2 linked regions of the Schizosaccharomyces pombe genome follow. The protein of the gene in region 1 interacts with the protein of each later gene in a pairwise test. Each region holds a gene or a part of one and is shown on either strand. Other genes may lie near its edges.

Evidence for each region.
Region 2: the proteins of tti1 (region 1) and tti2 interact in a two-hybrid assay, tested with the Schizosaccharomyces pombe proteins (one study listed by BioGRID).

The regions. Positions count from the first base shown.
Region 1 is NC_003421.2:1,424,051-1,427,983, forward strand, and holds the start of tti1 (TTT co-chaperone complex, armadillo-type fold subunit Tti1), read right to left. Parts: upstream 1,818-3,933; 5' UTR 1,797-1,817; coding exon 1-1,796. Other genes in the region: SPOM_SPCC622.14 (GTPase-activating protein), read left to right, coding at 3,048-3,260, 3,582-3,659, 3,738-3,933. UniProt on the Schizosaccharomyces pombe protein: Component of the TORC1 and TORC2 complexes required for the regulation of the cellular respons to changes in available nutrients.
Region 2 is NC_003423.3:3,897,900-3,901,832, reverse strand, and holds tti2 (protein Tti2), read right to left. Parts: upstream 1,898-3,933; 5' UTR 1,787-1,897; coding exon 1,712-1,786; exon of another isoform or gene 1,668-1,711; coding exon 663-1,667; exon of another isoform or gene 615-662; coding exon 291-614; downstream 1-290. Other genes in the region: SPOM_SPBC1604.16C (G-patch type RNA-binding protein), read right to left, coding at 1-201; cmp7 (ESCRT III complex subunit), read right to left, coding at 2,284-2,952, 3,014-3,415, 3,459-3,737. UniProt on the Schizosaccharomyces pombe protein: Component of the tel2-tti1-tti2 (TTT) complex that stabilizes protein levels of the phosphatidylinositol 3-kinase-related protein kinase (PIKK) family proteins.

The sequences.
Region 1 (3,933 bases):
TGTTCAAGGAGAGGATAAAAATATGCCATTAATTTTGATCGAAACTTTACTCCTTGTAAAGAAGAAATCCAGCTAATGCTGTCAATAGCAATGCAAGAACGAACACACAAAAGATTATACTTTTCCTTTTTCTGCTTATCCTCCAACGATGCTTTCGTAAAGACATTTAATTGCGATAATTGTTGCAATACTTCGAATGAATATTGCTCTAATGAATCAATATACATTTCCAAACTGTCCACCGTTTCTACGTCACTTTTCAAAAGTACCATAAATGCCCAAAATGCACGAACCGAGTTTTCATTTGTTGCTGAGGTAGCCTTAGAAAGTAAGGACTGCATAACATATTTAACATTAGGTGCCTTTGCGAAGCTTGTAACAATCTCTTGTGTTGTTCTTTCCATCTCATTTCCACCAAAAAATTCACCATGGATGTACTCATTCGAAGTACTGGATGTTAAAAGCTTCTGCGAATTGGAATCAATTCCCGATGACTTTGGTACAAGTTGGCTGAGTATACCATCCAGTAAAGGCTCCATGAGCTGCAAAGTCTTAGGAAGATGACTGGATATACTTAAGAGACTTTTCAATCGGTTCAACTCCTCCAATTTATTATCTTCTGAAGCAAAAGTGGAAACACTAGACCATGTAGTAGACCAATCATTTAGGCATTCAGTTAATACTGATTCCATAGTAATATTGTTGAATGATTCAATGAGAGAAACGAGTTTGTTCATCCCATAGTCCCTTAATTTTGGATTTTCTTTTTTATTGATCAATTTTAGCATGCTCTCTAGTAAATGAATCCTACAATCTTTTAGTGAATCTAAACAATCTCTAAATAGGATAAAGCAAAAATCAAATAAAGCATCTTGTACATGTAAGTTTTGTGAAGAACGAAGGTGAAGAATTGCCTTGACGGCATTGCTTAATTGTTGGCAGGTAGCGCGTTTCCAAGACTTTGTACGCTTCGTTGGGCCAAAAAAATGAGAATTAGAAGAAGCATCTTTTTCATCTGGCAAATCTTTTGTGTTATCGTCACTAATAGCTTTCACCACTGTATCACCTAAAATATTCAAAGAGATACACACGTTTTTAAAATACTGACAGGTTCCATTTGGCGCCAGTCCCTTTGTCAATCCCGATACTATGCCAGGAAGAAAAGTAGTAAGAAATTCTGTTGGTAAGCGATATTGCTTTGGGCATATTAGCTTTTGGACGCAACACAATGAGGCAAACTGTAATCTCCGTGAGCTATTTTTATTTGGAATAATATCCAAAGCACTAGAAAGAGCTCTCGCAAAGAGAAGATACTGTCTTTTATCGTGAAAATTAGGCTTAAAATCTGTAATAACGTTCTCAAGCGTTTCGAAAGTAATTTCTCGAACACGAAAATCTTGTTCCACAGTTTCCGAAGGAGATTTCCATCCATCTGCTATATTAAGAAGCATCAATAATAGTTGCATCGTCAACATTTCATTATGAGCTTCCCTCCAACCATGCTTGTAAAGCAAATTCACGCACTGAATGGCATACTCCACTCCTGTACTTGGGACACGATACCAGGACTTTAGTACAGGTACAATTGGAAAAAATATGTAATCGCATAAATTTAGTGGTAAATCGGCGTCTGTATTGGTCAATGCTTTTTCCAGCCCAAAGTACGCATCCTTCAACGAGTTCTTTAACCCATTGGAGTCAACAGATGAAGTTTCAGAAGATAGAGGAAGAGAATAGAAGCTTAACTTTCGAAAAGGATCTCGAATTTGTGCGAAAATACTCTGTATATGAGACATGTAGAGAAACCATGAAGTTATAGAGATGGTAGGTCATATACAAGCAAACCATTTAAAAATGCATACTTTTGCGATTGGAAATGTATATGATATTACAGTATTCTCTAATAAATAATTCAATATTATTCAAATGATTTGAATATTTAATGTCGTGCTAAATTATAGCAAGTGTTTTGACTAGATGCACAGCCAATTCCCAGTCGGTTTTCGTGAGAAACATTGAAAATATTTAGCAAAATGAGTTGCAATGATTTGACTTTGTTCTTAAAAACTTGGAAAGATATATTGCAAAAAGCTGCAAGTTTTAGGGTTACATTCAAGTTCTTACTGATGACCATTACTTTGATCTCAACTAAAATTTTAAATTAAAGAGAGAATTTTTGAAGCTATGCAATTACAATAATAATAACTTCGTAGCCTTTCAGCCTTTTAGCGTATCTGTTTACATTGAATTAAAAACTCGATAGTATTATTTTATATTTTTTAATAAACATTTTAACGTGTGTGTCGAAAGACATATATATAGTATAAATAATTTGTAGCTCAAATTACTTTGCTATGCAGACTAAGACTGGTTTAATGTGTGCAATGGAAGTAGTGGATGTATTCACTCAAATTTATAAGGGTATAACCTTTTTACTAGTCTAGTTTTGTAGTTTCAAGCTTCTAGTCCTCTATAGTCCTTAAAAAAGTCGTTAAGTTCATAAAGACGATACAACTTAAGAGGTAGCCAACTCATAAGAGATTTTCTGCTACATACCTTTAACAAGCGAGGAACACAGTAATTTCTGAATTTCTATTTGTAGTCAAAAATCACTGAATTATCAGTTTGTTTCAAAAACGAGAGGATTGTTTAAACTAATTTGCATTTTCTTAAACCAAACTTATTGTAACTTGAATAATCTCTTTAATCTATTTATTTTGAAGGTCAATGAACTCTTAGACAGATATGAAAATTGCTCAAAATAATACCGTAAGCTTTCCAAGAAACTAGATGCTGGTATTTTAAACAGTATGGATCAAAAACAAGAAAAAGTTGAAACTCATAAATGCATTCAACTGCACGACATATTTATTTCCTTCATGTTTTGATTTTATATACTTGGAATACGTTTCACCAGATCTTTAACGTTTTCTTACGCACTTCCATAAAATCTCACACCATGGTGAGACATGAAAATAACGAAATTTCAAAGTCACTTAGAACAAACTACAATTAATGAGTTGGTTGTTTAAATAATCTAATAAAAAATGTCGTATAAATTAGACCAACTCACTCGTCTTCCTGAAAACAAGAAATGTTTTGATTGTGATGCTCCAAATCCACAATGGGCATCTTGTAATTTGGGAATCTTCATTTGTTTGGATTGCAGTGGACAGCATCGTGGTTTGGGAGTCGAAAAGAGCTTTGTCCGCAGTATTACCATGGACAATTGGAGTGAACGTCAAGTGAAGATGATGGAGGTAAGCATCAGGATTGATACGGGCTATTGGAGTTTGTTGGTTATTTTACCAAAAAAAAAACATATATATATAATAATTCATTTGGCTGAGAGGGTAGCGCTATTGATCTGCGAGTTTGCTTGCCGCTATTTCGAATTTTTTCCAAGTCATTTAGTGCCTTTTTTTGACAAGAATAATGTTTAATGTTAAAAACAAGTACATGACGCGCAATTGATTATCACCTGAAGTTATAAAATGCAAGCTCACTATAATTTCATCAATGACTTGAAACAACATATATAGCCCACATTTGTTGCATGCTCCTGACTAACTTCTATACAGGTTGGTGGAAATTCTAATGCTAAAACATTCTTGTCTACAGACCCGATGTTTTCTGCTGCCGGAAGTATTCGTGAAAAAGTATGATCTTTGAACCTTCTATATTTTTTCCAGTTTACCTTATTTTGATTTTATTCACATTGACTAACACATTTTAAGTACAATACCGACATTGCTGAGGACCTACGACAAAAAATTCGTGCCGAAGTAGATGGTGTCGAATGGGTCAAAGTTGATCGTCCTAAGAGCGTTTCCTCTCATGCTTCTGTAACTTCATCTTCAACTGTTCCAACTATTCCATCAGTTTCAAAAGAAGCAAATGATAAATATTTTGCAAAGCTTGGTTCCATTAATT
Region 2 (3,933 bases), on another chromosome or scaffold:
GTCCCTCTTGCTGTTCATAGTATGCGAATTATCCCTATCATTTTCAAATAACGAATGATAAAATGCTTGTGCCGATCCTTTTTCAATAAAAGTGGCTTCGTCCAACGATTGTTCACTAGTGGCTTTTACGAATGAAACCCTACGACCATTTTTATAAAAACCATAAGAATTTGACAGCTCCATATTTCCTTTATTCTCCATTTTCCATCGTTTTTCGAATAACCATTGTTACCAATTTATCTAGGTTGAAGGTTGGTTAGTAATGAGGAGAGTCTTTCCTTATATGTACCTCAAAGTGGGATTTGCAGGGGTTCAAGCAGTGGCAATATTACATTGTAATCACCGAGTTGCTCAACAGTTATGTTCAATTTTATCAAAGTGAAGAGGTTTTGAAGCGCTTGTACAATTGCATTGTGATGCTCTTGTAAGTTACATCGCATATAATTTCTACTGCAAACCACTAGTGCCATTAATAACTCAACATGGTGTGCAGATATTCGATAACTGTAAATTTCCAATAGTTTTGTTAATATTTCTAAAAAAAAGGAGAGTGTCGATGGTATCTGTATGATTTGTGGGTTTTGTATTATACGACACAGTTCATCCAGAGTCAACTAAGTGCGATTAGTAAACTTTCAAATGTAACGAATTTAAATTATTACCGTTAGGTATGGTAAATAACTAACATTCATTTTGTCAGTTAAAACCATAATTTGAGAAAATGCGGCTTGAAGAATCAGGGGATAATCGAATGCAAACTGAAACACAGAATTAATACCGTTCAGCATAATAGAATTTAAATTTTCATTTTCTTCAGGATAAAGAGAAACTAGGGTTGCGAAGGAGGCATTTATAAGGGTAACACTCGTTTGAATTGTAAATCTTGGCGGTATGAAAGTATAGAATACGAGCAAATCGTCCTTCAAAATTTTTAGAATTCCAGTATATAAAAGAAATTCTCTTTCCGTAATTTTTAACAATCTGTTGACTAGCTCAATTCCTTGTAGTTTAATGTTTGGAGATAAATCATTCAATATTCGGAGTACAGATGGAATGATTCTGTGCCAACATACTTCAATGCTAGAAGAACTTTGCTGATCAATTATCCAAAAAATAAGGTGAGAAATGAGATAATTTTTTGTTTTCCACTTTGGCTCAAGAAGTGCTTTACTTTGATCACTGTGAAATTTGTCTGGTGGTAATTCAAATGCAACCGGTCTACCTTGATCTGTCAACCGTTCTTCTCTATGAAAAAGATTTATTTGATACTTTTCTAGAAGATATAATAAGAATTTTTGTCTAGGAACAGCGCTGAGGATTGAAGTTGAGAGGAATTCTGACAAATTGCGTACAAGTCCATTCTCGATTCCACTTAATGATATTAAAATAGCTAGGATTTCCCAATTGATCTCTTTAACAACATTTTCTATAAACTGTTCTTGAAAAATGCTTAATATCCGGTGAGCGCGCACAACATACGCTTCTTTAATCACTACATCAATCGATTCAGGGTCTGGATGAGTTAATAATTTAATATAAAAAATTGTCGCCGTACCCAGTAAAAACCAACTTTCAGTAGGGCTAATGAACTCTAATAATGGCCTCAAATCTTGTTCATGAACCAACGAGTCCACCTCTACCACCAATTTGTCCAAAAAGTCTATTTGCTATATTTGGTTAAAATTTGAAAATAGTGAATTAAAAACGGTACTTTTTCAAGAGCTTCTTTTTCATTTTTTGATTGTAGAGTATGCAATCGCCTAGCTAGCTCTTTGTAATATTGCATAGATATTGCCAATTTAAACTTCTATTAGATAATTATTAAGTCTAATGTTTTATTATTTGTTTGATTTGTAAACAAAGAATATTAACAGAATTGTAATGTCACTTAGTTATTAGAGAACTTAAATTCTATGAAAAAAGTATTTCATGTTAAGCTATGGTCATACACTAATAATATAAACTTATAGAGTATGTGATATACTGTAAGTTTCTAAGTCGTTGCCAAGAAATCAATTTAATAAATTAACAATTTACTAGTTTTTAAAGGTATAAAAAGCAAAATTTTTAGTAACTAACATCAATTCATTACACAGGTACTTTACCTTATCGCTTTAGCTATATAAGTTCTATTGAGTATATAAGCATTATTGTTTTTTATAGTTATTACCAAGAAAAATGTTTTTATAGTATTCATTTATTCTTTAGTATGTGCATAAATTATTAGTAAACCAAACCATTTCCCGTGAATTTAAGTGATCGTTAAAAAAGGACGTATATAAATTATTGCTCAACCAGCTCAGCTTGAATCTTCTCCGGTTTCGAAGTCTTTTTATCCGAGTCAGTATTAGTAAGGGTAAAAGTATCAGATGGTGTTTTTAGAGAAACATTGCCTAATGTAGACACGATATCTTCAACCTTCTGTTCTTCAGCTACCAAATCCTGCCATTCTTTTTCAACGGCTTCATCCTCTAAATCAATGTTTTGAGGATTGTAAGTTTGAATAGTTGCATCAATCTCTTCCGAACGAGCCAGTGTATCATTTACGTTTTCTAAGACATCTTCCACTTTTTCAGTTCCACCCATTTGAGCTAAAATTGCGTCTAGAGCTTCAGAGCCAGAAGACATTGCAATAAGCAAAATTTTGTTGTCAACCGCATTATCAATATTAGAAATTATAGTATCTAATTGCAGACGCGAAGAAACTTTCCTTTCCAAATCTTTAGACAAAATCTTTTTTCGACGTAAATAAGTTATTGCTATTGTTTTCTCTCCCTTTTTAACTGCTTGGTTTAGCACTTGTGAAAGTTGCTCCAATTCCTCGTTTAAAAATTCTGATCTTTGGGCGATGGATGCCCTAGCCTGTATCAGATCTGCAACAGACCCATCAATAGACTTATCAATTGAAGCTAATTGAGCATCAATTTGGCTGTTGGGTAAAAACTTGATTATCTATTCTCGTTAAAAAAACGGTATCGACAAATAGCTGAGAAAACATATAATCTGAACTTACCTTAGAATCAAATATTAAAACATGTTTTTGATAGCACATCCAATTAAGAAGGCATTCCATCTCATCCTTGTTTAATTTTCCTTCTTCCCAGTATAAGCTTCCAAAAGTATCTTGAAAAAAGTCCCAAGTATAAATTGCACTCGTATAGCTGCTGCACCGTCGCATTGCTTCATTGTGTACAAGGCAAGCAAGTTTCTCAATATTTTTTCGAATTACATACTGCCCACTCGGGGATCTATTTGACAATATGGATGAGGCTTGATTTTGAAACCCAAGTTTCTGAAAACTCCACCGTAGAATTGAAAAAATAGAAAAACCGTCTTCTCTTACTAAATTTCCTTTTTTACAATCGTTCAAAAAGTCTTGCTTACGAAGCCAAACCCCTTGCTGGATCCAGTAAGCCTATATGCTTATTAGCTTCAAAAAAAATGCTTAATTCACGTACCGCAACAGCACCAAGGCTCAAAGGTCTACCTAAAGCAGGACTTGAAAACGCACTTTCAAAAGTCTCATCGAAAACTAAGATTATCCTAGAATTCAACTTCCCAGACCATGCGGATGTTTCAATTGCTTCTCTCCAAGTATTTACGTTTGCCAAAAATCCTTCAGGATTTTTTATAAACAGACTCGTAAAGTCAGAATACAGGCTTTTTAAACGAGTTTTTGTAAAAATTCCTTTATTAACAGAAAATTCCAAAGCATTGACTTTCTCCTTTTTTCCCATTCTGTCGTATATTCCTGAAGCTACCTGCGTGGTTTACTATATACAGTTTTCAAACAGAATTAATGGTATGAGGTGACTTGTCACTTGTACTTTTGTAATGTTACAAATTGCTAAATTTGGAGTTCTAATAAGGTGCTGATGATTTGTTTTCAAAAATTCAGACAATGAACAATTTATTCTAAAACTGATAAGATAG